Tamandua tetradactyla: one gene and its partners. The protein of the gene in region 1 purifies or fractionates together with the protein of each later gene. This does not show direct contact. Links are inferred from orthologs where the notes say so. Each region holds a gene or a part of one and is shown on either strand. Other genes may lie near its edges. The genes, in order: G3BP1, MKI67, PABPC4 and ATXN2L.

The links.
Region 2: the proteins of G3BP1 (region 1) and MKI67 purify together in Homo sapiens (affinity purification with mass spectrometry; 3 studies listed by BioGRID and IntAct, with this or other methods). This does not show direct contact. The link is inferred for Tamandua tetradactyla from reciprocal best matches to the Homo sapiens genes G3BP1 and MKI67.
Region 3: the proteins of G3BP1 (region 1) and PABPC4 purify together in Homo sapiens (affinity purification with mass spectrometry; 4 studies listed by BioGRID and IntAct, with this or other methods). This does not show direct contact. The link is inferred for Tamandua tetradactyla from reciprocal best matches to the Homo sapiens genes G3BP1 and PABPC4.
Region 4: the proteins of G3BP1 (region 1) and ATXN2L purify together in Homo sapiens (affinity purification with mass spectrometry; 4 studies listed by BioGRID and IntAct, with this or other methods). This does not show direct contact. The link is inferred for Tamandua tetradactyla from reciprocal best matches to the Homo sapiens genes G3BP1 and ATXN2L.

The regions. Positions count from the first base shown.
Region 1 is NC_135346.1:32,603,267-32,610,791, forward strand, and holds the start of G3BP1 (ras GTPase-activating protein-binding protein 1), read left to right. Parts: upstream 1-4,516; 5' UTR 4,517-4,691; coding exon 4,692-4,898; intron 4,899-7,525. UniProt on the Homo sapiens protein: Protein involved in various processes, such as stress granule formation and innate immunity. Plays an essential role in stress granule formation.
Region 2 is NC_135339.1:90,698,002-90,705,967, reverse strand, and holds the start of MKI67 (proliferation marker protein Ki-67), read left to right. Parts: upstream 1-4,955; 5' UTR 4,956-5,068; intron 5,069-5,642; 5' UTR 5,643-5,739; coding exon 5,740-5,831; intron 5,832-7,966. UniProt on the Homo sapiens protein: Protein that associates with the surface of mitotic chromosomes and acts both as a chromosome repellent during early mitosis and chromosome attractant during late mitosis.
Region 3 is NC_135328.1:185,798,835-185,806,205, forward strand, and holds the start of PABPC4 (polyadenylate-binding protein 4), read left to right. Parts: upstream 1-4,484; 5' UTR 4,485-4,574; coding exon of another isoform or gene 4,575-4,621; 5' UTR 4,622-4,913; coding exon 4,914-5,106; intron 5,107-7,371. Other genes in the region: uncharacterized protein LOC143658260, read right to left, coding at 3,599-3,965, 4,068-4,484, 4,575-4,621.
Region 4 is NC_135349.1:25,006,729-25,014,636, reverse strand, and holds the start of ATXN2L (ataxin-2-like protein), read right to left. Parts: upstream 3,004-7,908; 5' UTR 2,746-3,003; coding exon 2,456-2,745; intron 1,857-2,455; exon of another isoform or gene 1,837-1,856; intron 1,817-1,836; exon of another isoform or gene 1,754-1,816; coding exon of another isoform or gene 1,695-1,753; exon of another isoform or gene 1,691-1,694; intron 1,602-1,690; exon of another isoform or gene 1,422-1,601; intron 1,405-1,421; exon of another isoform or gene 1,349-1,404; coding exon of another isoform or gene 1,326-1,348; intron 931-1,325; coding exon 894-930; intron 719-893; coding exon 662-718; intron 581-661; coding exon 509-580; intron 180-508; coding exon 29-179; intron 1-28. UniProt on the Homo sapiens protein: Involved in the regulation of stress granule and P-body formation.

The DNA of each region.
Region 1 (7,525 bases):
TCAGAGTTTGGTATGGGTTACAATTCCACAATTTTAGGTTTTTACTGTTAGCTGCTCTAAGGTACTGGAGGCTGAAACAAGTATAATGATTCAGCACTCATACTCATTTGTTAAACCTGACCTTCTCTGTATAACTCCACCATCACCTTTGATCTTTTTTCCACTCTTTAGGGATATTTGGGCTATACCCATTCTAACTTTTTCATGTTGAAAGGGCTATCAATAATATGAGATAGGGGAATGGAACTAGTTGATGTTCTGGAAAGGCTGGCCCCTCTGTATTTCAGGACTTATCTGGTCCAGGGACCCATTTGGAGGTTGTAGGTTTTGGAAGGTTACCCTAGTGCGTGGAACCTTTGTAGAATCTTATGAAATGCCCTAGGTATTCTTTAGGATTGGCAGGAATGGTTTTGATTGGGGTTTGGCAAGTTATGAAAGGTAGCAATGTTTAACTGAAGCTTGTGTAAGAGTGACTACCAAAGTAGCCTCTCAACTCTATTTGAACTCTCAGCCACTGATACCTTATTTTTTCCCCTTTTGTCAGGACAGCATTGTTGATTGCACGGTGCCAGGGCCAGGCTCATCCCTGGGGATCATCCACCCCTAGATGTCATGTCCCCCATAGGGGGGAGGGTAATGGTTTCACTTGCACAATTGGGCTTAAAGAGAGAAAGGCCACATCTGAGCAACAAAAGAGGGCCTCTGGACGTGGCTCTTAGGTATACTGATAGGTAGGCTAAGCTTCTCTGCTATATACATAAGCTTCACAAGAGCAAGCCTCAAGATGAAGGACTTGCCCTTTTGATTTGGTCTCAGCCTGTTTTCGTACTTCAGAAATGGGAAATAGGGCTGTTGTGAAGATTAAATGAGATCATCTTTGTAAAGAATATCAACGAAGTGCCAGGCTCATGATGTGTGCTCCATAGGATTTGAGGAAGTGAAGCCTTTGCAGACAGTGCCAAAGGAGGAAGTAATCCAGTTAGGCATGTATTTCCAAGTTAATAAGGATCTGTTTGGATCTTGGTATGATTTTTTGTACAATAAGGAGTGGAAAAAAAAGAATTCAGTGAGTGGAGGAAGGAAGCCTCATTTTCAAAACCCTCAAAACCTACAAAGGTAAGTGTGGCATTCCACCTGGTTGGTTTGTTTTAAAGATCAAAGTTTCCATATTTGCAGTTCCTTGTGCCAGTATTAAATTTTTTTAAAATACATGCACATGGTAAAACAAACAAACAAACAAACAAAACTTTACTGTACCAAAGTTTATAGAATGGAAAGGAAGAGTTTCTTCTTTCCTGGCCCAAGTTTACCTCCCTATTAGCAATTAGTAACAGTTTCTCGAGACTCCTTTCGGACATAACCTATGCAGACACAGCAAAATCAAAGAAATAAATAACTATAGCAACACTGTGTATCAAAAGAAATAATCACCTCATAGCTACTCTTCCATTTTTACACAAATGTTTTTTTCTATATTTCTTCTATATTTTGCTCTCTTCATGTGTTGATTTCTCTTAGAGATCATTCTATAACCATACATATAGGTATATCTTGTTTTCTGTGTGGCTGCCTAACAGTCCATTGTAAGAGTGTACTGTGTTGTATTATATCTATACCAATCTCATATTGCTAGAGATGTGGACTGTTTCCTCTTTCTACTAGAAACAGTGTTGCAATGAATATTATTATACTGGGTTCTTACCCACAGGTGAGAGTTTAACAGTTAAGACTCATACATGCACACATTTGCTTTAATGCAATTTTATTGAGATAAAGTCACAGACCATAGATGCCATCAGCACACACTTTTTTTTTCATGAGGCAGGCACCGGGAAATGAACGCACACACGTTTTTCATAAGGCTTAGCAAACTATTAGCTATGTTTGCGAAACACTGATCCAGATGATGTTTTAAGGGCCATTCTTTAATATTTCTCACACCCTTCCACTTCTTCCATCAGACTAAGTTTTCTGGGTCTTAGCATGCTTCCACTCCCTCTGATTTTCAGAGCTTTGGGGAGGACTGGCAGAAAGAGAAGAGTGAGGTAGTATATTGGAGGGGATTGTAGAATTTGCTTGGCAATGGAGATCAAGAGCAGAAGGACGCTTGGGACTTTTCCTTAGAGAACTTAAATTAATCTCCTAGAGGAGAGTTTCTCAACCTTGAGCTTTATCCAGTAGATGCCAGACTGTAAATTTTTGCCAATTTGGGCTCACTAGAGTTTCAGTTTGGAGTGTCATCTTTGTAAAATGCAAATCTTAGCCCACTTTAAAAAATCCTCCAGGGGCTCTCCACTGCCCTCAGAATAAAGTCCGGATTCCTTACTATGAGCTACATGATCTTAGAGGTTCCTTAGCTCAGAAAATTTCAGCCACTTCTTTCCTCTAGGCTGATTTCCCTCCTCTGCCAGCCAGTTCCTCCGTCTTGGGATCTCCTGCCCCAAACGCAGAGCCCCAGTCTGCTGAATGGGTGAGGTTAAGCAGGGACAACGACTTGATCATTCCTGACCCCCAGTCCATGCCGCTCAATAAATGCTGGATGAGCGAGGCTGATACGGGAGCGGAACCTTGGAGGACCAGATGTGGGACCACAACCCCCAAGAAGGTGCTCTTTCTATCTCTCCTGTGGCCTCCCCGCGTCTCCAGTCTTCGCGGCCAGGCTTGGCCTCGGGAGGTCCAAAGAGGACAGGGCCAGTCACGCTAGGCTGCTTGCTGCGGGCGCCCCTTTTTCCTTCCAGCCCGGGCTGGGCCGGCCCAGCTCAGTCTTCTCTCCTCCCACAGAGACGACGCTCAACTTACTTCACTTCCAACTTTCTTAGTAAAACTTAACGGGAGACCCTTCTGGATGGGCACAAGGCTGAAATGAGAAATTACTGGGGCGTGTCTGCGCTTTGGAACTCAACAAATGTCCACATAAAACGCTCATGGTGACCAAGAGAGGGCACAACAAAATGGTAAGAGACCGGGGCAGAACCTGGCTGGGGCGTCACTTGGCCCCTTAAGTATTTCGGAAAATCTTTGGAATGTCCATCTAGGAGTCTGACAATTTAACTTTTAAAGGAGCCACGACACGAAGAAAACAGCAAAATTTCCTCCCGCCCCCCACCCCCGCCTCCCTGCAATTAAAAGAGGAATGACAATGGCGGTGACGCACAGGATGTTGCATCAAGGTCCAAACTTGATCCGAGCATTTGCAAACTACCGTTCCTCCGCAACGACAAAAAGGGAAAATCTGATTAAAACACCCACGAGCCTCTGATTGGGCAGGCCAACAGCAGCACTTGCCAAGAGGCAACGGGGTAGAAATCTGTGCTCTCAAACTTAACAGTTTCACACGTCACCTTTTTGTATTACCTTACAGACACAACAGGAGTTACTTACTTCTTGTTTCCCTGTAACTGTTGCCCAACAATTATGTCGACTAACTATAAGAGCCAGCGAGGATCCTCAGGGTGTTGCATGGAAATAAAAGACAGTTGCAATAAAAAGGAGAAAAAATACCTAACCGGAAACTTTACCACTTTGTTCCTCTGGTATCAAGCTATGCGCAAAGGGTGGGAGCGGAAGCCTCGGGGGCCGGACCATGCAATGAGAAAGAAAGACCCGAAGCCCGAGCCAGGAAAGGATTACAACCGCCCTGCGCCGCACACGGGCCCTAGGGCTTGGTCGCCTTGGTCGCCTTGGAGCAGTCCAAGCCCCGCGTCAATCAGCTCCTTTCCGCATTGCGATTGGCCGGGGGTCTCCCTTGGACGCCCCAGCGCCCACCATCTAGTTGCTTGGGGTTTACTTCCCCAAAGTACACGGGCTCCACCTTGTGGAGCAACCGCTCCTGCCTGGAAAACGGATCTCCGCCCTGAGGAAGATGTTTTAACGAATGAGAGTAGTTCCCTGCACTTATTGGTTACTATGGGTATCGGTCAAATAACTTCCGCCCCCCTTTCCACTGTACCTTTTAGTTATTGGTTTCTCTTAGTGCCAATCCGTTACTAGGGAAACCGGATCCTCACAGCCTTATAGGCCAGTGTCAAAGCCAATCAAGAATCACGCCTTCACCTTGAGTCAGTACCCAATTGTGGTTCGAAGAGACCAGAGGACGCATTAGGGATTGGTCATCGGCTCGCCCGAGCTGGCCGCAACAAGTTAGGGTGAGTCGTGCTTATATAGACCGGCGGCGGAGCACGCGTGTGTGCGGACGCAGTTGCGTGAGAGATTTCTTGCCATCCGCCCTGCTGTGGAGCAAAGCTTGTTCCTCTCCCACTTAGCCGCACAGGTACACCGGGGTTTGGGCGGGGCTGGGCCGCCCGAGGATGAGGACGGGTCGGGGCCGTGTGAAAGGGAGCAGCGCTAGTGGCACTTACGGCGGCCGCGCGGGGCGCGTCCCCCAACCCCCACCCCAACGGCCGCAGGCACGCGAGGCGATCGGACGGGCGCGCGGCCTTTCCCCGCCCCGCTCCCGCGCCTGGCGCGCGGGGCCGCGTCCGCCGCGTGCGCGTGCCGCGTCCAACGGCCACGCGAGGCGGGAGCGAGCAGCAGTCGCCGCCCGGGCCTGGGGCCATCTCCGGGGTCCTTGGGGCCCCGCGCGGCCCCGTGGCCTGGCCCAGGAGGGAACTTTTCTTCAGAGGTGGGGGCGACGCTGAGTGCGATAACCTGCGAGGCAGAAGTGCCGCTGCGCCTTGGTTTTACAAGGAGTAATGAGGGAGCAGCCGCGTGTATGGATAGCGCTAACAACACCGAGAATTCTTTGTACCCCTCGCTGTGTGCCGGGCACTGTTCTAAGCAGGTCGTATACATTTCGTGTAACTCTCACAACGACCCAAGAGGTAGATACAGTTATTTCCCGCAATTTACGGTGGACTCTGAGACGCAGAAGTAGACGGACATGGTCAGAGATACGGACGGTAAGGGACAGCTATTTTTTTGAATCCAAGCTGTCTCACTCCTAGTCTTGAGCTCATTTTGTTCTTTGCTCTAATACTCTTTGCGGTCCCAGGTCACCTTTGCACCCAGAACACTGGTCACTGGATGCAACCGCAGCTTGGAAAGGCCAACTGCCGAGAAGACTGCGGCGGCATTTGCACTAAGGCCACATAATGGCTTTCAGGAAGACAGACAAGGGCTGGAAGTGGGATTATGACAAAGAAAAGGGGTCTGGGCTTCCTTTCTACGTGTGTTTGTGTAGATAGTTTATAGCTGTGCTGTCCTAACAGCTTCTGGAAAGTGTAGGAAAAAGTGAATTAATGCAAATCAAGGTGGACTATGTTACTAGTCAGGTATCAAACTCAACGTGGTAATGGGAAATTCCCGCCAGCAGAAAGTTAGAATCTGCTAAGCAGAACACGAATTTTTTTTCTTTTTCTTTTTTTAAATCGGAGCAAACTTTTGAGAAAGACCTTTGAGAAGATAGTTTAACTTCCTTGTTTTAAAGTTGAAGAAAATGACGTTTAGACCAGTGAGTTTCAGATTTCACCAACATGTGTGGGTTAAGATTTGAAATAGGAATGGAAAGAACGACTCCCAGTTACAGGATAAATTTGAGCTGGATGGAGTTTAAAATACTGAGTGAATTACCGGTGATTGCGATGTGCTGGAAGTCATACCCTTGTGGCAGTTGGAATCTTGCTTGCCTATATTCAATTCAGCATTTAGCATTTACCCTGCTGGGCTCTCACATATGCAGCAGAGTGGAAGGCACCTACCTGCCTTGCCTTTAAGGAAATGTGTTTATATTTTTCTTGTAGAATTAATTGTATTAGATTTTTTTTGAAGCCAGTATACTCCTTGGCTAATGAAATAATAAATGTTCCTAAGTTTCAAGTCCACATCGTTACTTTGCATTATAAATGCCTCTGCTTGAGACAGAACTATAGTAAAGTTTTTAGGACTCTCTTTTGAACTAGGCTTGAATTGAATAGCTTTCAAACTGTTCTCTTTTTATCTCTTCCTTTGTTTTCTTTCTATCTACCTCTTTCTCTCAAGAAATTTATCTATCCTGCTATGTTTGACCAGATACATTTAAGATTGGTGTTTTAAATAAATGGTTTTTGCAGTCAGAGGGAACACATAGTGTTGCATATCCTTGTAAATAAATTAAAAACAAGGAGGAAGTTTAATAAATGTCTCTCTGGAAATTGATACTACTGTTTCCCATGTTTCTTAGTAGAAACTAGCAATAGATAAAGGATCAAAGTATACAGGCAAGATCTTGCCTTTAGTTGATGTTGCCACAAATAACAGTTTGCTTTGAAATATAACATTGTTCTACGTCGCATGATTTTATGTAGCAATTCCTGTGACCTACATTTAGAGAATAGTTAACTACAAAATTAGTATTTTAAGACATGTTAAGATGTGAAATTTAAGTTTTAGTTATCAAATGTTAGAATACTATAATGACCTACATTTAGACTACTTAATTTGAGTCCAACTAATTTTATTAATGCTTGGGATAAAATGACTGAAATTGCCTTATGCATTGAGGGGAATTTTGTTAGTTTCTCCTTTAAATATTAAACGTACTATTCTTGCCCTCAGAGGAATGGTTATTAGTTGAGCAGAAATTTTAAAAATGATATTTTACAAATGGTACCCCAGTTGATCTTTTGTGCATCAATTTATCACGAACAAGTGAATTTTGAAGCAGGTTGTGGTAATACAAGACTTGAGTCTCCCTATTCCCCAAGTCATGTTATTTTTGTTAAGAGTTAAAAAATGTTTTCAAATTTGAGCTCTTGTACTTTTCTAACAAGTAGAAAAATGTAGGCAGGTCTTTGTCCTTTATTTAACCTACACTCAGCTGACAGTCTACTAAGGGAACTTCAAAAGATTTGGTCATGTTGGTAACCTACTTAGCAATTTTTTTTTTTTGTTTACTTGTTTTAGTATTTTGTATAGAAAGCCAAAGGTCAGCATAAAAAGCAGAGATTAGCTTTCACTTTTTATAGGTTTGGGAATTATATATAGTTCTTAGAGGATACTTGGGAGCCAATGTTAAAAGATGAAATTTAATATAAAGCATGAGTTTGTGGCTTGTGTGTGTGCGCGCTAGTTTTACAAAACTGCTTATCTGGTGTTTTCCTTACTTTTTATAATTAGGTTGGTTTTTAAAAAATAGTGTTTAGGAGTTCAAATATGCGTTGTGTGTTCATTTAATTATGTGTGGTTTAAGGCTACCTAGGACCAAAATTCCTACTGACTTGTCTTGAAACCTTACAAAAGGGCATCACTGTCAAAAGTAGGTAGATTAAAAAAAAAAAAAAAAAAACCCAACTGCTGTACTCCTCCTTCCAGGCCTGGAGTTAAATTTAGATTTTGCAACTGTAACCTAACTTTTAGTCAGTAATCACATTGGAAGTTAACTAGGTTTATAGTTTTAAATACTCAAAATTCAGTTTGCTGGTTTTTTTTCTTTTAATGCCCTCTTAGATACCCTGTCTGGCCTTGGTTAGAGAAATTTGACTTTTAAACTTGGAGACTGGGTGAAGAGCTAAAAATAATCTGCATGTGAAAACTCAAGAGCAGGCTTTAC
Region 2 (7,966 bases), on another chromosome or scaffold:
ATTATGTCCATTGATACTTTAACTCCATTTGAAGCTAAAACAGAGGAATGTTTAAAGTATTTACTTAATAATTCATTTTATATAATGATGACCCAATTTCATGTCAACCCTAAAAGTGTACTTTTACAAAAAATAACTATATTAACCAACATCCTAGAAAAACTAGTGAGAAGAGGGGCATTATTTTCCATTCTTGCAAATCTCTTTAGAAGACACCTGGATTCTCCCATCTGCACCTGCGTTTGGGGAACTCCACTGTACGCATGTGCGAGAATGAGAGCGAAGCAGGCAAACAATGTCTAGTGTTATTAGGAACATGGTGTTGAACTCTTTGCCCCCCCCCACCCCCCGCAAAAGGATATGGGAGACCCTTAGGCCCCCGCCACACACATGGAGAACCACCGCTCCTGAGCAACAAAAACTCAGCTCCAAGGAGTGTGGATGAGAGGGAGGAAGGCGATGGATAGGGTGGTGTTCTAGTCTGCTAGCTGCTGGAATGCAATAAACCAGAAACGGGATGGCTTTTAAAAAGGGGAATTTAATCAGTTGCTAGTTTACAGTTCTAAGGGTGAGAAAATGCCCCAATTAAAAAAACAAGTCTATAGAAATGTCCAATCTAAGGCATCCAGGGAAAGATACCTTCTTTCAAGAAGGCCGATGAAGTTCAGGGTTTCTCTCTCAAGTGAGAAGGCACATGGCGAACACAGTCAGAGTTTCTCTCTCATCTGGAAAGGCACATGGTGAACATGGTCAGGGTTCCTCTCTCAAGTGAGAAGGCACATGGCGAACCTGGCATCATCTGCTAGCTTCTTCTCCTGGCTTCCTGTTTCATGAAGCTCCCCCGGAGACACTTTCCTTTTTCATCTTCAAAGGTCACTGCCTGGTGGACTCTGCTTCTTGTGGCTACGTCGTTCTGCTCTGCTCTCTCCAAATCCTTTATTCTCCAAAATGTTTCCTCTTTTATAGGATTTCAGAGACTAATCAAGACCCACCCAAAAGGGTGGAGACATGTCTTCACCTAATCCAGTTTAACAGCCACTCTCGATTCCATCACATCTCCAGGGAGATGATCTAATTACAGTTTCAAACATACAATGCTGAATAGGGATTAGAAGAAATGGCTGCCTTTACAAAATGGGATTAGGATTAAATCATGGTTTTTCTAGGGGACACACATCTTTCAAATCAGCAGAGCTGGGCATTGCCGGGGACATGTTCGGGCTCCATCAGGACCACACCATGCTGGCCCACTTGGTCAGCCCCAGGGAGCAATCCTGGGCCACCCACTCCTTCCCCAGTCCCCCTGCGCCAGCCTTAACCTGAGATAGACAGGCCCTTTCACCCACTCTGCTGGGTAGCTTCTTAGTGCCCCATTCCCAGGCTATGACCTTCTGCACCCAGGGGGTTGGGCCATTGGAAATCACCTGTGGGCTGAGTCAGGTGGAGGTACTTAGTCCCCATAATGTCACCTGTGGGATGTGGTGGGTGGTCCTCCCCAGCAGTCAATTTCATTAACTCCCCACTTCACCCTTCAGGCCTGGGCTGGGGGTGGGGAGGGGCTTCTCACGCCAGGCCCCGCACAGTCCCTTGTGGGCGTCCTTCCCGCTGTGGCGGGCCGCTGTTCCCCCCGGGGCTGGCCGGTATGCCCACCTGGACCACACCCAGAAAGGAAGCCACCAGGCTGCCCCCACAGTCTCTGAAGAAAACAACAAAAAAGACAGGAGTGACTCTGGGGCAGGAAGGGATAACATGAGCCAAGGGCCTCAGAAAGATAAAAAGCAGTGTGTTCATCTAGGAAGTCTGTTATTTTGAAGAAACAAACTCATATGATTTTTAAAATCAGAGCTCAATTTAGTCTGTGCAATTTTTTGAGTTAATGAAAAAATTTTAAAAAGCACAGTAGGAAAATATTATGCACAATGTGAAAATTATGAACAAAACTGTATGCGTAAAGAAAACACCTCAAAATACTAAGGAATTTTATTCTGCTTTCCCCTGTTGCCTTCAAGGTGTGTCTTTCATTCTCACAGGTAAAGACAGCATAAATGTAAACGTAAAACTATATACATAAGCATGTTACTGAATGTTGAACCTCTCTCCATCCTTACAAAGCTCTCCCTGGACGGCCAGCTTCCTCTAGCAAGTGCCTCATTGACCTTCACAGCTAAACTCCCGGGAAGAAGTGTTCTCATTCCCCTCCCGTTCTCCCAGGAGTCCCCTCCAACCAGTTCCCACCATGCCACTTTCATGTCATGGTCACCAGTGGCCTCCAATTGACAAAGCCAAAGGTCGCGTCTCCGTCGCATGTCACCCAGCACCTCAGCAGCATGGCATTTTTTGTCCCTCCTACCTCTTCTCTGAAGCACAAGCTCTCCTGGTTTTCCTCCTGTCTCACTGGTTGCTCGTTCTCAGCCTCCTTTGCTGAATCCTGCTCTCTCCCTGCAGCCAGAGGGCACCCAGGCTCCAACCCTGAACCCTTTGCTTACTAGCACTCTAGTAAACCCATAACTCAATCCTGGGCCCATGAATTCCAGGCACATATATCCAACTGCTGGGGCTCAAACGCAAACTGAACTCATGATTATTTCACACTCAAATACATACACACACACACAAGACATGAAAAACACAACCGAAAACCCTCCCTAGGTTGACCCTTTGAGTAAACAAAACTGCCACCCACCCAGTTGCTCAAGCCAAAACTCTTGAGCAGTATCCCTGACTCCCCCCCCCCCCCCCCCCCCCCCCCCCGGCTCATTTGATTCCTCAGCAAATCCTGCCACTTCTCCTTTCACTTCAGATCCAACAACCCGCCCTTCTCACCACCCACCCTGGACTCCTGCAGGGGTCTCCCAATTGGTCTCTGCCTGCTTCTCACCTCTACCATCTGGTTTTTCTGCAAAAGGCAGAGGTACCTTTTACAATGTAATTCAGAGAGGTTATTTTTATAATCTTGGAATGGGCAGGCCTCTCCTAAGCAGGACACAATAACATTTAAGTATAACAATTTTTAAAGGACTATTAATTGAACCAAAAGCAAATGCCAACAGAGAAAGAAAATTACAGTACATGTGAGAGTTAATTTCCTTAAGAAAAACTTAAGTAAAAAGATAGACAAAAATAAGAGAAAATGGAAAATAGAACATATAAGTAAAACAAATATAGTGGATACTGCAGTCAGCAAATAATGCTTCTCCCATTCCCAAAACTGCCCACATCTATCCCAGGAATCTGTGACTGTGTTATGTCACATGGCAACAGCGAATTAAGGTTGCAGATAGAATTAAGTTTTAATCAGCTGACCTTGAGGGGAAACTCCAGCGGATCCCATGTGATCACGTGGGTCCTTGTAAGTGAAAGAGGAGAGAGAGTCAGCATGATTTAGGAGAAAGACCCGCAGCCCCAGGTTTTAGAGATGAGAGGCTTGCAGGAGCCCAGGAAAGCAACCGGAAATGCTGGACTCCCTTCTCGAGCCTCCATGAGACATGCAGCAGTCCACCTCGATTTTAGCCCAGTAAAGACTCGTTCAGACGTCTGACCTCCAGGACTGGAAGATAATAAATTCGTGTTCTTGTAAGGCTCTACATTGTGGTCATTAGTTTCAGCAGCTGCAGGAAACGAATACTGACACCAACATCTCATTCACCAAAAAAAAAAAGACGTGAAACCAAACAGCTCATCTTTTTTTTGTTCGTTTTTTTGCCTCTTAGATTGACATCAATTAAATAATAATGATCGTCATCAATATACTTGAGCTGGTCTGTAGGGAAAACAACACTCTGGCACCTTACTGGGGAAAGAAGATACTAGCTCAAACTTTTTAGAAAGAAGTTTGGTCATAAACGTAACAATTTTACATATGCATGTCTTCTGACCCAACAGATTTGTTGATAGGAGTTTGCCTTCCTGTATTCAGCAAAGCCTGCCAGCATGCACTGGTTTTTTTTAAAGGGGCTTTATGGAGATGTAACTGATGTACAATAAACTTCACATATTTAAAATGTGAAATCTGGTTAGGCTGAACACATCTGTGAAAACCATCCCTGCAATGAAAAGTGTGAACATATATATCCATTGCCCTCAAAAGTTTACTCAGCCCTCTTTATACTTCCCCCTCCTTTCTCTCCACCATCCCCTTTACCCCCAAAGGACTATAGATCTGCTTTGTTACGATAGACTAGTTTGCCTTTTCTACAGTTTTATATAAATGGGATCAGTCAGCATGGATTTGTTTTCCACTCGGCATAATTATTTTAAGATTCATCCAGTGGTCACGTAAGATTTTCTAATTGTAAAATTGTTTCTAGTAGCAAAGCTTTATAAACCGAAATAGCAATGGCACGATCAAGTAAATTAAGCAAATGGTGTGCAGGCGTCAAAATGAAAGTAGAAGCCGAGTTTATGCTGACAGGAGCTGACCTCAGGATTCATTAGCGGAGAACACTACAGAATAATGTGTATATGCTCTTTTGTGTAATGTTGAAAAAGAGACTACATGCTGGGAAAATACACAAGAATCTGCGGGAAATAACTGGTTCTCTTCCGGGAGAGGCAGGGACCGGCGAGGGAAGCTGGACTTCAACATTTTAGCCTTGTAGCAAGGAGGGGCGCCGCGTACGGGCCCTAAAAAAGACGAGGCAGGAAAGTTTATCTCCGCCCTGGGATCAGGCCCCACGTTCGGTGTTTTTAGGTTTTCCTCTACAGGACAAGAATACCACGTTCTCCCCGGACGCTCAACCCCAGGCGGTCGTGAGCATCGGGGTCGCGGGCCCCCCTCGAACTTGGGTTCCCCCACCTCGCCCGGTGCGCTCCTCCCGCCCTTCCGCGTCCCCATTGGCCGGCCCGCGGCCCGCGCCGCCCAATCACAGCGCTTAGCGCCGGAATTCGAATCGCTGTTTGGATTTGAACGACAGGAAGCGCGGCTCTCGGGGTAGTGGCGCGCGGGCGCGCGGAGGGATCCGGCCGCGGAGCCGGGGTGCGGCGCTTTGTGGCGCGAGCGGGCTGCGGCTGGGGCTCCGGGCGGACTCGGCGGTGACGGGCCCGGAGGAGCGGGCCGCGGTCGGTCTAGGTGAGCCGGCCCGGGGGCCTCGAGGCGGGGTTCGTGGCGCGGCGTCTCTGGTGCCATTGGCTCCTGGGTCCCGGGTGGGCCCCGGTGAAGGCGAGGGGCTCGGGCGCTCTCGGAGGGTGTTGACTGGGTGGGCGATGTGCGGGACGGGGCGACCCAGGGCGGTGCTGGGGGCGCCCTCGGGGGCCAGCGGGCGAGGCTCCCTGAGGGGTAGCAACGTGGGCGCGCACTCTGGGGCCGGTGGGCGAAGTCGCCTTTGACGGAGAGCCTGGGCCCACATTCGGGGCCTGGCGGGCGAGGAGCCTTTGGGGGACAGCCTGGGGCTGCGCTCGGGGGACAGCGTGGGGGCGAGGAGCGCGCTGCGGTGGATGGGGGAGGGCAGCGTGAGGGCATTCTCTGGAGGGACAGCCCGGGGGGGCGCCCTCGGGGGTAGGGGGTACAGCCTGGGGGCACCCTCGCGGGTTCGGGCAGCGGGGGCTTTGGTTAACATCCAGGGGCCTCTGATTTGTCTCTTAAAAAGTGACTTCTTAGCAAGCTTGCTTTGAGAGTAACCTTTCCCTCCTTTTGTTTTATTCAGTTTTTGCGGTGAAAGAGTTATTGGTAAATCGTTTTTTGACAAACCTTGTAAAACCTGACGCTCCTGTATGGACCGTGCTCTGCATATAGTTTAGAAAATGAGTCGTTTGTGCCACCTCGTTGTCATCAAAAGGAGCGGGATCGACGGTACCCATTTCCCGCTGCGGCGGGAAACCTGCTTATTTGGAAGGTGAGCTCGGTACTTCCTCTGTTCTTTTAATTTGGCAATTGTTTTTTACCAAATGAGATTTTGAAAATACATTAAGTGTTTTAATTTGGTGAAAGCCTTGAGATGGAGAAGGATAGAGGTTTTCACATTTGGTGCCCTTGACGCAGTCCTGAGAAGGCAGCTGGGTGGTGTGAAGCCCTGACTCGCTGCCCCTGGCTCTCGGGGCACACTTTGGGGTGGAGAAGGAAGGAGCCTCTGTTTGGCTCCTTGTTTTTTTTGGAAAAAAAATGAGCATGGGAAAGTCATGCTGCTTGTATTTTGATAAGTTTTCCTGTAAGGTTGCCTTTTTCTTTTGGTGGCGCTATTAACTGGATTTTCATGCTCAGCTTTCAATGACAGAATTGACAGAATTTCCATTGCTATATGATATCACACGAGTCTACATTTTAAAATTCCTCAGGTAAAGAACTTCTTTTTTTCCTTAAATGTGAAAAAGTAAAAGGTTGCCCTAGAACTGCAGTTTCTCATATCCCCACATCTGGATACAGCCATGTCCAGTCTGGTGGTTGTTGCGGTTAGCTGTCTTACAGACGTCTAAGGTTTTTGCTGTCTTTTAAGTAGGGTTATACTTAATGTCAGATTGTCTCTAAAATACATCTCGCATTTCTGCTTCTCTCAGATGGAACAGAAAGTAGGCATGCAGCCGCTAGTGCCACAGAGATTGGAAACTGCAGGGGGATAATTGTTTAACCTCTCTTCCCAAATCATCCCAGTTCCCAACTGGACCATCACAATAGCCTCTTCACTGCTTTTTCTTGCATCTTTTTCTTCTACAGTCTGTTCTTGGTACTGTAGCCAGTGCAGTTTTTAATTTTAATACGGTTTCCTTGTTGAGAACGGCTCTGAGGCTTCCATTAATGACCAAAATGCACAACACTTTGGAGGTAGTGTAGCTTAACTGTTAAGGGGTTGGGGTGGGGCCCCAGAAATCAGACTGCCAGAGTTAGACAGGGCAAGCTACTTCTCACCTCTTCATTTACCTCAACGTTTGTGAAGAAAGAGATAGTGCTGCCTAATTCGTTAGGTTATGAGGACTGAGAGAGCACGTTACCTAATAAGAATTATTGGTTTTGCAGCCTGTAAGTAGATGCCCATGTATCAGGGACAGTTTATCAGTTCATCAGGGACCATCGGAGTTTATGCCCATCCTATCGAACGGTCACCCTCCCGTGGAGCTCTGTGCTCTGGCCCCTGACTTCCTTCCCATCTTACCTGGTGCTCCCAGCCCATCCCCAGCCACAAGTCAGCATCTCCTTGGGCAAACCAGGCTCACGTTCAGCTTGGTGGTTTGGACAGTATGGACTTTATGCCTAGAATGTTCTCCCTCCCCACCTACGTGAGATTGCTTTCCCGCTTTCAGATAACAGTTTACATGTCGCTTCAGAGAAGCCTTTCGTGAGCACTTCTCTTCCTGCATAGCCACTTTACCAGTGATGAGTGCTTTTGGTCTCTCCCACTCAACAGAATTTCCCAAGGGTGAGGCCTGTCTTGTTAATAATTATGTATTCAGTGCTTGGTGTGGTATCTGGCATCTTGAGATGGTCACTGTTTAGCACTCTGTAAAGTGTTCAGTAGATTTGCATTTGGAATCAGCATGTAACAGTGGTTCTCTAGCAAGGGCAATGTGGGGCTCCGGGAAGCATTTTGCAAGGTCTGAAGACATTTTTCACTGTTGCAGTGGGGGAAGGTGTGCTACTGGGCATCAGGGAGTAGAGGCCAGGGATGCTGCTAAACCACATGGCGTGTGCAGGGCGGCTCCCACAACAAAGATACGTGTGGCCCCAAATGTCCACAGCCCGGAGTTTGAGAAATGGTTGAAAGAGAGTGATTGTTAGCCATTTCCTGCCAAACAAATTCTCAGTCTGTTTTTTGCTGGGATGGTTTTGTATCTAAAAACCAAATTCTGTTCTTTGACTAAAAGTAGCTGTTTACTTTCCATAGCTTCCATTCCCTTCTAAAGATAAAAAAAAAAAAAACCTGAACATTTCAGTCTCAAATGGAAGTAAGTTTAGTTACTATATAGCAATGATGAAATATATTTTTATGTAAGGTTTTGTAATTTAGAAGCCAATTCATAAGTGTCCATCGTATGACAT
Region 3 (7,371 bases), on another chromosome or scaffold:
AGGCTTTTTGGTTGCAAGAAACAGAAAGCCACTCAGAGAGGTTCAGGTAAAAGTGGGTGGGATGTTTCTTAGAAGGGTACAGTGATTACTGTAGAAGTGAAATATAGCAAAAATAAGCCAGGCATGTTAGGAAATTTTCTTTATCCTTTTCACTTTCACTCTCTATCTTTCTCTCTTTCTGAGGCCTCAGCTTCAGAGACCTGCATCCATCTCCCTATCAGACCCAAACGTGCCTTTAAGGAATTTTCCTCCTCTTCCCAACCCCAAACACATTCTTTCTTTTGATATGTTCATGTCATCTCTGAAGAACAGAGTTCTTCTGAAAGTAGACTGCCCCAGTGAAAAAAATATTAGCACTCCACCCCCAAAAGCTCTTATTGAAGCTTTACGCCCAATCCCAGCAAAGGTAGATTCGTACTGACCTGCCTAGGCCAGTCACTTTCAGATCACTGGCCTGGTTATTGGTTCAGTCTCTTCCTACCCAACATTGAGCCCTAATCAGGTATTGTTTAATTTTGCAGGTTGGACTCCAGGCTCCTTCTGGTGGCTTTACATATCTCCCCCCTCTAAAACAAAGTGATAATCTTGTGTCAGTTGTAGGAAATGTAAATGTTTTGATTTCCAAGAAATTTAGGGACCTTCCTTGACTCAATCCCTCACCTCCCACATCTAATTAGTTACAATTTTTATTGTCTACTTATTTCTTAAACCAAACCACTTCCGCCCCCCCCCCCCCCCCGCCCCATGGTCATTACCTTAGTCTGCCATCATCTTGCATGTCCCCTTACACCCATCCTCTAAACCGTTTCCATATTGCAACCAGAGATGTTTTCATAAAAATGCAATTCAAATCAAGGCATTTGCTCATCAGTGCCCAGCATTCCTTCATTTATTTGACAAATATTTATTGAAAGCTTAAATAGAGCTTTGTGCCATGTTAGGCACGGTTCTAGGTTTCAGTTCTCACAAAGCTTATATACCAGTGGAGGGAAGACAGGCACTTTAAACAGATACACACACATACACACAATGTAATTTGTGATTTCAGGTAGTAATAAGAGCATTGAAGACAAAGAGACAGGATGGTGTGATAATAATTAACAGTGGCAGACTACCTTAGACTGGGCAGTCTGGGAAGGCTCCCCGGAGGAGGGGACCTATTTATAGGAAGACTTTCCCTCCTGTCTTAGTTTGCCAGGCTGCTAGAACAAATGAGTTGGCTTTGGGAGTTCAAAATCATGCTCTCTCCCCAAAGTCTGTAGCGTTCTGACGCTGGCTTACTTAAGCATTCCTTAGGGTTTCTTGGCTTGCATCTCTGCCTCCCATTACATGGTGATCTCTTTCTTCTGTGTCTGCTTTTCCAGTTTCCACTAACTTGTGGCTTTTTTCTGTGGCCTTCTCTGACTGTGTCTGAATTTCTTCTGCTTATAAAGGACTCCAGTAACAATGATTATGGCCTACCTTGATTATACTAAGCCATACCATAACTAAAAATAACATCTTCGAAGGTCCTGTTTATACACGAGCTCACTCTCCCAGGAATAGGGATTAAGATTAAGAACATGGCTTTCCTTGGGTTACATAATTCAACCTACCACATCTGTCATATTTACTATGGTATCCCCCAGCATTTATAGCTGGCACTGCCATAGAGTATAGTCCCTGATTATTTATTTGAATGAATGAATATATAAATATGTATATTTCTTCATTCATTTACTTAGATCAGTAGTTTTCAGTGAGTTTGCATGCCTTTTGGTAATTTCTGGGTTTGGTTCTCAAAATAATGGAGGAGCCTTTTATCTACCTTATCAACAGATGAGTAAAACATATGGAATAAAAATAAATAGTAGGGGGAACAAATGTTAAAATATATATTAGGCTAAAATGCTAGTGATCAATGAAAGGGAGGGGTAAGGGGTATGGTATGCATTAATTTCTTTCTATTGTCTTTTTATTTCCTTTTCTGAATTGATGCAACTGTTCTAAGAAATGATCATGATGATGAATATGCAACTATGTGATGATATTGAGAATTATTGATTATATATGTAGAATGGAATGATCATAAGTTAAGAATGTTTGCATTTGTTGTAATATATATTTTTTTAATTTAAAAATTAATAAAAAAAATAATGGAGAGTTCCTGGTGTTTAGGGACGAAGGGATGCTATATAGTTTGCTAGGCATGGAGACAGTCCCACATACCATAGAATTGTTTCATATCCCACAACTTTCAAGTGACCTGCCAGATCTCAGGTGGATGAAAACTCTCTTTATAATTACAGGAGCCTAGGCACTAACTCCCTTTTACATGGAAACAGAAGATATTTTTGTGCCTTTAAATAGAAACTAAATTTACAGGAATGCCATTACCATGTAAATAGAGGGATAATCATATTTTGTTTTATTGAAGCTTTACCAAAATCTGTTAATCTTTTCAGCAAATCACACTACCCACAGAAACCACTGCATTTCTAGCTGCCACATTCTGGACGATTCTATCTTTAAGTCCCAGATTCTGAGAATTTCCATATGTCTTCTTGAGTATGGGGCCCCAAATATTTATATACTGAGCCACTTATTATTTATTTGGAAATTATTTTACCTCTTTTTTTTTTTAACTTTTTTTTTTAGGTGCATGGTCCGGGAATTGAACCCGGGTCTCCCGCATGGAAAGCGAGCATTCTGCCACTGAACCACCCATGCACCCTTAAGTCTTTTTCAGTAAATCATTTTATTTCATCTTTATTTTCCAATTAGGCATTACATTTTTTTGGTCATTTCTAGCTTTTTAAAATTATTAGAGCAGTTGTAGGTTTACAGAAAAAAAAATCAAGCAGAAAGTACAGAGTTCCCATAAACTCCACTCCCACAGTTTTCCTATTATTAACATTTTGCATTATTGTGGTAGCTTTGTTACAATTGATGAAAAAAATTATTATACTATTGCCCATAGTCCATAGTTTATCTTTGGTTTCAGGTTCACTCTTCGTGTTGTCCTTTTTTTTTTCCTGCATGCTGTAAGGCGGGGGTCACATTTCATTCTTTTTCCACGTGACTATCCTGTTATGGCGGCACCATTTGTTGAATTTTTTGTTTGTTTTTGTTGGTTTCTTTGTTTGTTTGGGAAGTGCATGGGCGGGGAATCGAACCGGGTCTCCCGACATGGCAGGTGAGAGTCTACCACCGAACTATGCTCGCACCCCTGCACTGTTATTATTTTTTTTCTAAAATTTTATTCTAGTAACATATATACAACCAAAAATTTCCCATTTATCCACTTTCAATTATACAAGTCGACGGTATTAATTACATTCACAACTTGTGCCATTTTCGCCATCCATTACCAAAACTTTGCCATCACCCCAAACAGAAACTCCAAGCCAATCAAGCATCAATTCCCTATTCCCCACTCCCTCCCAGCCCCTGGTAACGTGTATTCTAGTTTCTTAATGTTATGAATTTGCATAGTCTAATTATTTCAAATAAGTAATATCATACAGTATTCATCCTTTACATTGATTTTTTAATTTTATGCGTGTGGGTGGGTTATATTATCTAAGGGTTATATTATCTAATCACCATTCCCGGGTGATTAAAGGGGGTGGGGGGATTGTAATATATTTATTATGCAAAGGAGTCCTTGGGTCTGGTGAAAGCCCGGACCAGGATACCTGAGGTCCACTCTGCCTGGAGCCCGGAATGGAGCGGCCAGCGGCAGCGCGGTCCTCCCACCGCCAGGTGTCGCTGTGGTGCCGCGCAGACGCGCCGGGTCGCTCTCGCGTGACCGTCCCGCCTCGGGTACCCGGGCCGAGTGGGCGGGCACGGCTGCGCCCAGGTCGCGAGGCGCCCTTCGACCAGCAGCGCCCGGGGCGGGCGGGTATAAATGGAGCGGTGGCTCCCCCACCCGCCTCTCTCCGCCCCGGGTCGCCGCTGCCTTCGCCGCTTTCAGGCCCAGCAGCCTGAAGAAAAAAAGAGAAAAAGATTAAAAAGAAAAAAAAAAACGAAAACGCTTTAAAATCTTAAAAAAAAACGTCAAAAAAACCGAATCCTTCTCGGAGAACCTGCGAGGAGTCACTTTTGCACGCTTCCGGCCTGCCCCGCGCCCGCCGCCGCCGGAATCTCGCGTCCGTCTCCGTCTGTCGGTCCGGTGGTGAGCCGCCCGTGCCTGCCCGCCTGGGCCTGTGCGCTCCCCGCCGCGGGCCCGCCCTCCTCCACGCGTCTCCACTGTGAGCCTCGCGCGTCCGTCTGTCCGGCCCGCCGCGCGTCCCTCCCTGTCCGCACGCGCCGCGTGGCAGCCTCGGTGCTCGTCGGCTCCGCGGCGCGTCCTGCTGCCCCTCGCTTCCTGCGGGCCGGCCTCCCGGCGCACCACGTGTCGGCGCTGCCCTTCCCCGAGCCCGGCGTGGGAGGCGGCTGCGCGCAGCGTCCGCCTGGGGCTTGCGGAGTCGCACGGACGAATATTTTGTTTCCCTCTTCCCTGGCTGTTGTAATTTTAAACCGCCAGGACCCCGAGGCCTATATTTATAGAGAAACGCGTGTCCCGAAGGCCGCTGTGGGCAGCGTTTGATTGCCTCTTGGAGAATTTGTGTTTAACTCGGAAGGAGATTCCCGTCGTCATATTTTTTGAAATTTGTAGGTTCAAACCAGGACAGCTGAAAATTCCACCATCACCCCACCCCCCCAGGGAGGGCCATATTGTTTTTGAGAGCCTTTTGTCTGAGGTTTTGCAGAGTCTCTCCAACGAGCTTTCCCCAAGCTCCTGTATATCGGAGCCTACTCCAGCTTCTCTTAGCTTAACTTGCCACCTGTGAGCCGCAGCGCAGACTACGGCTCAGAGAAGAGCCTCTTTTGTCTTGTGGCGGTCCGTATAAGAAGTCCTGGCGGGGCTCGGGGTGGTGGGGGGTGGGGAGATGAACGCTGCAGCCAGCAGCTACCCCATGGCCTCCCTGTACGTGGGTGACCTGCACTCGGACGTCACTGAGGCCATGCTTTATGAAAAGTTCAGTCCTGCGGGACCTGTACTGTCCATCCGGGTTTGCCGCGACATGATCACCCGCCGCTCCCTGGGTTATGCGTACGTCAACTTCCAGCAGCCGGCTGACGGTGAGTAGGAGCTCTGTCCACAAAATCTTGGGGTCTACAGAGACCCAGGGAGTTAGCTTCTAGGCACGCCCCACTTCCCAGGAAGGGGTGGGGTGGGGGGAATCCAAACATCATTTTGTGCAGAAGTTGAAGTGGGAGCTGGAGGCAAAGAAAGAGGTGAGAACATGGCACCTGGCATCAGTTTCAATCTTTCTTTCGTACTGGCTGGCTGGGTGACCTTGGGCTAATTAGTGGTGAGGTGGGGTTGGAACCCAAGAAGACTGTAAAGGAGAGCAGAGTGAAGTCACTGTCAGCCCATTGTGTGTGTGTGGTCCTGCTTGAGTGGGCCCTTCAGAGACTTTGTACTAGTCAGTGGACATGGGCTTGTGCCCCTCAGAAGCCTGCCAAAAAGGTAGGATGAATGAAACCCAATTCGCTGCAAAAATTTTAGATTGCAAAATTACTAACCCCTCCCCCACCTTTGCCTTAAGAGTCAGTTTGATTTGATATTGATAAGGGGTCTTTCAGGGCAGATAGGAAGCAGAGGAACAGATCTGTGGATTAAACAGGGACATGTGCTAGCACCACCAGACCCATGTGTTCAGCTGGTAGCCAGGCGAGTTCTCTATCCTGCATGTTTGCCCCAGGGGTGGAGGAATTGTTTGCTGTGGACATGCCCTGGACTGTGGAGAATGTTAGCTAGTTAGGCTGGGGAAGCACCACCTGAAAGTCCACTGGTCTGGTGGCTGGGGCTGGTGGGCATTATCACCTCAGCTGTGAAGAGCATTTTACACTGTGCAAACATCTTTCACTTCATCCTATCCGAAGGGAAATAAGACTCCTTTGAAGAAAAAGGGACTGCAAAAGGTTGGAGGTTCAGTCTACCCCAGATTGTGACTTTAGCCTGGAGCAGTGGAGAGATACGCTGCAGGCGTGGCAGGAGTGAAGCCAAAGGAAACCCAATCAGGGGCTGCATGTGACTCCAGATTAAAAGGGAACAACTGCAGAGCCCTTACTGGGAGAAATAAGCCATTCTATGGCAAGGATCTCCAGCTCCCTACTCTTGTCCCCACTTTGTTCACTCCATAAAGCAAATACAGAGAATGTAACTTTCCTAGGATGCAGCTGAGAGCAGGGAATTGGGCCTGGGTTGAAGTGAGACAAGGCACCGCGTACTGTCAATTCAGTGTACTCAGCTGAGTTCTGTCTCTGGCCACATAAGTACAGAGAAGGTGTCTGAGGGTGTGGCCTTTTTAGGAGGAAGTGGGGGTATATACATTATTTCTTGCCTGCCTTCTTACCTCTTCTGAACAAAAGTGCTGTCACTTGGAGATAGTAGCAGAAGCTTGATCAGTGTTTCTGCCAACACATACCTCTGCAGGACCTCTCCCTGCTATAAATAAGTGCAGCCAGATTTGTCAGACTAAGCTGACTTGCCTTGTTGCAGTGCTATCTGGAAATAGAAGAGTAGTTGGGTCGAAATGGGTGTCTTTACTGCTTATTAGTAAAATACAATTGGGCTTCCCAGTTGTGTATCACAGAAAATTATCACAAGCAAAGTCCTATACCTGGGCTTTTTCTATGGCTCTGTACTGCCATCTTCTCTTCCCCTTCATAACTGAGCAAGCTGCCTTTCTCAGATGTGGGAAAGATTGTTGGAAATAAGTGGGAAAAAAAGATATTCCCTTGACTTGATGTAAAGCTGAGCCTGTGGAGGGGTGGGTAGGGAATTTTGTCTATCTTTTAAGTGAAATGTTCTCGAATGGATGCTTTAAAGTAGGAGAAAGCTCCCCAACTCTGACGCTGTGTGAATCTTCTCATGGAAGTTCTAAGTGATGTTATTGCTTTAGTGAAGTCACTGCCATGAGATAATAGTGTAAGTTTGGAAAAGTGGCACCAGCTCTGGGTGTCCTTGTTGCTGCTGTTGAAGACAAGTATATCCGGCTGCAGATGATTATAATTTAGGTTCTGGTCCTTTAAATGGTGCAAACATTGTCTTGGTTGGGAAGCTGAGAAAAAGTCCCAGGGCACTGGATGGAGAACTGGTTGGGTGAGCACCAGGGCATTGAAATCTTGGAATTACACAGAACTCAGCTTAAGGCTTCAGCACTTTTCAGATGTTCAGGTTCAGAAGACACAGGAACCTACTAGGTGCGGGGCCCACGTGCATCATCACCTTAAGCAGAAACCATCCTTTCAAGGAGTTTCCTCAGTCTATGATAGGGATAATTTTAACTGTCCCACCTGAGCTACTGTGGGTAGGCTGCAAAACCCTTTATAAGTGAT
Region 4 (7,908 bases), on another chromosome or scaffold:
GGTCTGAAGTAGTGACGTGGCACCATACCTTTAGTGGCATAATTGAAGTCAACATTTCTGAAGTGGACAAGCATGACATCACTTGGCTTAAACACCATGGTATCCACGATATCTTCCCGACGAGGACCACCTGCTGGCTCAGATGCTTTCCTGTGCACAGCATCTACTGCTAGTTCAAACTACAAAAGGCCCCATTCCCCAACACCCAGGGGTCAGTATCAAGAAACGAGAAAAACAGTTTTTCTTTTACTCTTTGCAAATTTTCCCAAAACCGCATCACATCTTTACATGTATTATATTCTCAACACCAGCCACAGGACTTAACAAAAGCCCCAAATTTGTTCAGAATCTTGTTTTTTATACTTGCAACACTATCCTGGCACAGGCCTAGATAAATGGCTAACAGAGCTATAATGTCATCCAACACCACTTAATTTCACACCCTCAATGAGTCTATTTCACTTTCTTCCTTCCATACAACTCTGGAAATAAGTTAGAGTACACTTACCTTTGAGCTCAGAGTCTTGAAGATACCTTCATAGGTGGTACCGTTTTTCACCTTTACATCACAAGTGGAACCCTGGAAAAGTAGGAAAAATAAGGAGAGTGTCTTCAGCAAACTGACTCACAGTATTTTTCAACCTAAGCATTAGGTACTCACCACAACAGCTGTAAGGAAATGCAGCATTCTGGAATTGTTGTAGACACCCTCAAACACCTGTCAGTAACACAGAAGGAAGAAATAAGAGAGGCAAGTATTTCACATTCCACCTAAATACTCCATTCACACTCACCTTCGTGTGCCCTTCTGACTATTTTGATATCTAATCTACCCTATGTTCTGACATAAGTGTCTTTTAGGCCCTTGTATCTTGGGAAAAAAGGGCACTCACCGGTGATTGTGGGGGTCCCTTTCCTGTACTCTGTCCCCTGTAAGAGAACAACACAAAAAATTAGTTATTTAAACCTCATCAATTCCTTCTTAAACCATTAATTTTAAAGGGCTAGGTATCCCAGAAGCAATTCCTTGTGACGAGGTGATTTAAGGCTACACAGCTATTAATCAAGATTTTCAAACCTCACCTCATAGAAAAAGAGGAACAAGCCTTAAGAGCCAGGAAACACATTCCCTGCAAATACCAGTAAAGTAGATCTCAATCGACCATGGTCGTCTAATTGCTAGGAGGAAGGGCCAATTTAACACCACCTTCTCACTTTCTCCACGGGCTGATGGCTGCATGCTCCTAACTGAACAAAGCTACAGTATTAGATCACCAATAACCCACCCCATATATAAAAGATGGATGTGCCCGGTTCCACATTACCTCCCAAACAGAAAAGACATCATTTTCAGCAGCCTCTTGCCCCAACCCTGGGAAGAAGGCACCCCCCTCCAGGCCCTATCCCCTCGACCTCGTTACCCATTCAGCTTGTTACCAACTCTGTGAGGTCACCAATCACCCTGCAACCCTGCTCCTCGCTGGCTGATGTAACCGGTGGCTGAGGGCGCAGAGGGGGCCGTTGGCGGGGCTGGGGGACAGCGCAGCCGCAAAAGCCTTCCACCGGGAGGCCTCGCCCGGTCTGCGCCTGCGCACTAAAACCCACAGGCCTCTTCAAAATCCCCCCTCCCGCGGTCAGAACCCACTGCGCCTGCGTGTACCGCCACTCTCAATGCCATTAAAACACATACACACAGGAGAAACCGAGAGGAGCGTCCAGTACCCATCCACGAACACCGGGAGCATTCCTCCATGCACCCTCCTAGCCCCAGTCCAAGATGTTAACCCGGGCACGCGAATGCCCGGGTCATAAGACAGAGCATCCGCGCGCACGTACAGCAAGAGCGCGCGCGCGCTGGAGGTTCCTGGCCCGCAGTCCTCCCAGTTGTCCCTCCTTCCGTCCCCCTCCGCCTACCCCGCTCCCCTCCTACTGGCCAGATCGGGAAGGGGGAGGCAGCAACCCGCTCTCAAGTCCCTCCCTCCCCATTGGCCAAACTGTGGGCCGCGCGCCCCCCTCCATTGGCTACAGCCGGGGACCCCTTTCTGCAGCTGACTCCCCATTGGCTGAAGTCGGGGACCGCGAGACCCTTCGTGCTAATGGAGCCGGGGACCCCGCTCACCTCTTCACCCCCCCCATCTCCCGGTTCCGACGGCGCTGTCGTGGGGCGCCCCGCCTCCCCTAAAGCCTCGGGTCCCGAGCCCTGGCCAGGCCCTGAAAGCTCAGCCAGGTTCCTAATTGCCTGGTGGTCGCCTGGGGACCCTTCCTCCGACCTTTGAGGACCTGAGGGGACCCACCCCTAGCCTCACGGGGGCTTCCCGGGTGCCCCCAAAGGTGGCCAGGATGGGGGGCCCGCCCCATGCGGATGTGCTCAGGCCCCTGTCGCCCGGCCGGAACCGAGCCGTCGCCTCCTCCCCTCAGCCTCGGCTCCCCCGCCCGGAAACCCACCCCTCCTCACCTGGCGCTGCCGATGGCGGTTGCCCCTGATCTCTCTTGATGCTGCGGAGGCTGCGGCGTCAAGATGCCCTCGGCTCCCCGGCGGAGCCCGCTCCCGGCAGCGGCTGCAGGCCCCAGGCAGGGGGAAGCCGTCGCGGGAGGTCCGGGCGGAGCCGAGCTGGAGGCCAGCGGCCCCGGGACGCCGCCGTTGGGAGGGCTGGTGCCCCCGGGAGGCCGGCGGGCCACGGCCTGTTGCGTGGGGGGCGGCTGCTGGGACTGGGAAGTCTGTTGTGGCGGCTGAGGCTTCAACATGATGGCAGCGTCCGGAAGGGGAATTCGGGGGAAGGGAGGAAGAGAGGGGGCCGGGGCTAGGCTCCCGCCGGAGAGCGCGGGAAGCGAAGGGGGATCGGGAAACTGGGGGCCCGCCGTTGGCGGGCAAGGGGGAGCCCCGCGGTGTCGGGGGTGGATAGAAAAGACCGCGGTACGAGCAAGCGCCGCGAGGCGGAAGGGGAGGGGGTCTCGCGGGCCGGAGGAAAGCGAGAGGGCGCGAGCCGGTCTGGCGCGCGTGCGCGTCGCTGGGGAAAGGGGAGGGGAGGAGCGCGCGGGCGGGAGCTCCCTAGGGGAGGGGGGAGGGAGCGGCGGCACGAGATGCCAGCGCGCACCGGGGCGGTTAGCTCCGGGCGGAAGAGTAGAGGAGAGGACAAAATAAGGTGAATCTCGCGCCCTTAGTCTTGGAGTGGGGAAGGTAGAGCGCGGACGCTCACGCGCGACAAGGATTTAAGGTCTCTAGGTCTCAAGCAACCCTAGAAGCTGGTAGCCGCTGTCGCTTCACAATGAGCGTGTGAAGCGCTGGGGGAGGAGCCGAGGAGGCAAAGGAAGAGCCGGCCGCCCCTCCTACGCCGGCTTCCGTAAGGTCGTGATGCCTCCGCAGTTGTGTGAGATGTCTCCACGTTGCGTGAGATTCTTCCGCCACATTGGGAGGCGGGGGCCGTGGGCGGAGTCCTAGGTGCAAAAGAATTCCCGGGACTGAACAAATTGCGGGGATAGGGCTTTCGAGCAGGTGGTAGATTTCGTAATGAGCAGCTCTTATCCTATGCGTTAAAGAATGACTGATGGGACTTAAAGGCGGTTTTAGCGTCCTAATATTTGCAGATAAACTTATGCCTAATCCTGAATTATTTTAAATTTAAATTATTTTACATCTAAATAGTTTCTCCGCGCCTGAGAACGAACCCTTAAGCTGCAGTAACAAAGAGTATGAAGGTCAAAATTCCTAAGGTTTAGTTCAAAACTCTGCTCAGCCCACTGACTCGATGATGAAGGCAGCATTCATACATTCAAAATTGGGCACTAGGCTACATGCTTTGAAAACAATGGTAATTAAACCACTTCCTGCCCTCAAGAAGATCAAACTTCATGTTTATAGCCAATTAACTTTTGACAAGGGTGCCAAGTCCACTCTATTGGGGAAAAATAGTTTCTTCCACAAATGGTGCTGGGAAAGCTGGAAATCCACATTGTAAAAGAAGGAAGGTGGACTCCTGCCTCACACCACACACATAAACGTAACTCAAAATGGATCAAAGACCTAAACATACGAACTGGAATTATAAAACTGCCAGGTGAAAATTTGGGAAGCATTTTCAGGACCTAGTTTTAGGAAATGGTTTCTTAGTTTTATACTCAGAGCACAAACAAAAGAAGAAAAACAGGTAAATGAGACCTCATCAAAACTTTTTGTGCATTTAAAAACTTTTGTGCATCAAAGGATTTCATCATAAAGTGAAAAGACAACCTACACAATGGGAGACAATATTTGGAAATCACATATCTAATAAAGGTTTAATGTCCAGAATATGTAAAGAATTCCTGCAACTCAGCAATGAAAAGACAATCCAATTCAAAAATGGCAAAAGATGTAAAAAGGGATTTCTCCAGAAAAGATCTATAAATGGCCAAAAAGCACATAAAGGTACTCAATATCATTAGCCATGAGGGAAATGCAATCAAAACCACAATGAGATACCCTTTCATACCCACTAGAATGGCTACTATCTTTAAAAAATGGAAAATAGCAAGTATTGGACAGGATATGGAGAAATAGAACACTTCATTGTTGGTGGGAATGTAAAAGGATGTAGCTGCTGTGGAAACTAGTTTGACAGCTCCTCAGAAAGTTTAAGTATAAAATTACCATATGACCTGCAACCCCACTTCTAGGTATATGCCCAAAAGAATTGGAAGCCATGAAAAAAAACAGATATTTTTACACTGCTGTTCATAATGGCATTATTCACAATTGCAAAAAAAAAAAAAAAAAAAAAATGGAAGCAAAGCAGGTGTTCCACAACCAATGAACAGATAAACAAAATGTTGCATATATATGTACAATGGAATACTATTCAGCTGTGAGAAGGAATGGAGTTCTGATAGATGCAGCAGTGTGGATGAACCTTGAAGACGTCATGTTGAGGGAAAAAAACCCAAAAGAATATTGTACGATTTCACTTATACAAAGTAAGAATAAGCAAATTTGTAGAGTCAAAAAGTAGAGTAAAGGTTACCAGGGCCTGGGATGGGTGCAGGGAATGGGGAATTAATGCTTAATTGGTAGTTTCAGTTTGGGATGATGGAAATATTTGGTAATGGATGGTGGTGATGATAACACAACATTTTGAATGTAATGAACACCACTGAATTATAGAATTGAAAGTGGTTTAAAGGGGAACTTTGAGGTCGTGTATACGTTGCTAGAATAACATTGAAAAAACAACAGTGTAAAAAAAATAAAAACAGCAGCAAAAAAACAAACCACAAACAAAAACAATGTAGGACCGTACAACACAATGAATCCTAATGTAAACTATGAACTGTGGTTAACAGTACAATGATAATACTCATTCATCAGTTGTAACCAAGATACCACAATAAAGTGTTAATATTTGGAGGGGGAAGTATGTGGGAACTCCGGAAAACTACAACTTCTCCAATAAAAAATGCATTAAAGAAATAAATTTTAAAAATTCAGTAAAAAAAAAAGTTCAACCTAGTTGTGAATTTAGTTAGATGAAACTTAGTAGGAGATGCATAGGACACTTTGAGAGTGGATAGCAGTGACTTTCAATTCAGCGCTGGTGAATCTACACTGAGAAGGTGATGGGGAGATGGATTCCTAGGCAGAGGGACTAGAATGCAGCAAACTAAGAAAATTCTTCTGGTTGGAGCGTAACATGAAAGAAGGGTATTAAAAAGAGAGAGAGAGAGAGTAGAGGTAGGTAAATTGTAAAGGTTGAAGTTGGAACGAAGTAGTAAAGGTCCCTAAACCTAGTTAAAAGATTTGGACTTTATTCTCAAAGCAATGGGAAGCCCTTTTTTTGAAGATGAAAAGAGATCAGGTTTGCCTTTTTAAAGGATTACCCTTTACAACGTGGAGAATGGAGTGGAGCAGTGATGGGCCTGGGATCTTAATCTAAGTGAGATTCTCAACATCCCACTCTCTCCTTGTTCTGGCATTAGCACTGAAACTCTTCCCGACTTCCGACCTCCTTCTCACCCCTCGTCTCACAGCCAAAAGTCTGCCTTACTTTTTGGAAAGTCTTCCTGCACCTCTACCTCACTGCCAGCTTCCAGTGGGCAATTTGTCCCCCCTTTCTCTAATAGCTCATTTAATTCTGTCTTCCTGCTAGTGTCAGCACAATGCAGACAGTTGATGCAAGGGGACTGAATCAGAGTGGTATTTTAAAGATCTTATGTCTCCCGGGTGCCTAAATAACAGACTTCACCTTTTTCCTGGCTTTACCTCCCCCGTCTGGTGCCACACCACCACTTCAACACTTCTTGCCTCCCACCACCACTACCAACTGTGTCCTGCCTCCACATTCAAATTCTAAGTTTTAGTCCCATTAAATTTCCATTTCCACAACATGCCTTACCTTTACTTACACGCACTATTTCTTCATCTAGAATTCCCTCCCTGATTCTCTCTCTATCTCATTCTTCAAACTCCAGTGTCAACCCTTTGGAACTTTCTGTTATTTACTTCCTCCTCTGGGCCCCCAGAGCACTGTGTTGCTTTTCTTTCTGTCTCTGCTTTCCTTTGGAGTCCAAGGTCCTGAAGAGCAGGGACTGTATTTCACTCATTTCTCTATCCCTCTGGCCTAGACTGGCTGGCACCCAGCCACTTAATAAATTGTTAGGTGAACAAATGGAATGTTCTTTTATTGTATGCAATTTAAAAACTCTACCGCTTGGTTCCTAAATCAGATAAGCCCTGAAACCCAGAGATGCCAGTCTCTCCAAGAACATCAGCCAGTTCCCTCCCCCTACCCTGTATTGTTGATACCCATTCCAACATGAAAAAATTAGAATGGGCATAACCCAAATATCCCTAAAGATTGGGAGAAGGATCAAAGCAGAAGAAGGAGTTATAACAGAGAAGTTAGGATTTCCCACATGAGGATGACTAATAAAAAGCAGTCTCCAGTGTCTTGGAAGAGCTAGAAGGAAAAACCTGAAATTGTGGAACTGTAACCCATACCAAACTTGGAAATATGTTCTATAACTACTTGATAAAATGTACTTCAAAATGTATTTTTTTGTATAAATGTTGTATTTCATAATGAATAATGTTAAAAACAACAACAACAAGAACTCAATCGCTATGATCTGCTATGGAGTGATTTCCAGGATATATTAAGTGAAAAAAAAAGTGCAAAAGAGTATAAACTATGCTAACTTTTGTGTAAGAAAGAAGGGGAAATAAGGAAACAAATGTATCTTCAAAAAAACCAAAACAACAACAACAAAAAAATAAACAACAAAAAAATCTCACTTAGATTAAGATCCCAGGCCCATCGCTGCTCCACTCCATTCTCCACGTTGTAAAGGGTAATCCTTTAAAAAGGCAAACCTGCAAAAGAGTATAAACTATGTCAACTTTTGTGTAAGAAAGAAGGGGAAATAAGGAAACAAATATATCTTCAAAAAAAGCAAAACAACAACAAAAAACCACAAAAGGAATAAACCAGAAACTAATAAAATCGGTTACCTATGGAGGGCAGGGAAAACTGGAACTCCCTGGTTATTGGGTTTCACTCTTCTTGTTGAAGGAGACAGCAGAGCTACGGTTGAGATGGACAGACATTTTTTTGTGTATAGATTTTCATATAGTTTTTTTTTTTTAATCATTTTTGTTATCTTCATATAGTTTTGACTTTTCACATTCTGGTAATGATACGCATATTAAAAAATTATATCAACAAGGATGAGAGGGCCCCCAAACATTGAAAACAGATGTGAACAAATGAACCTGATTTTGTTTCAGGTGAATAAAATAACCACATTGATGGGGGGTGGCAGTAGAACCAATTCAAGTCACTTTCAAGTGAGGCAAGATAGAATAGGGCATCGAAGCTGCGCTCCCTGGTTTCTTACCCAGCTCTGAAGGAGTTAATGCACAACTGCAAACTCCCTAGA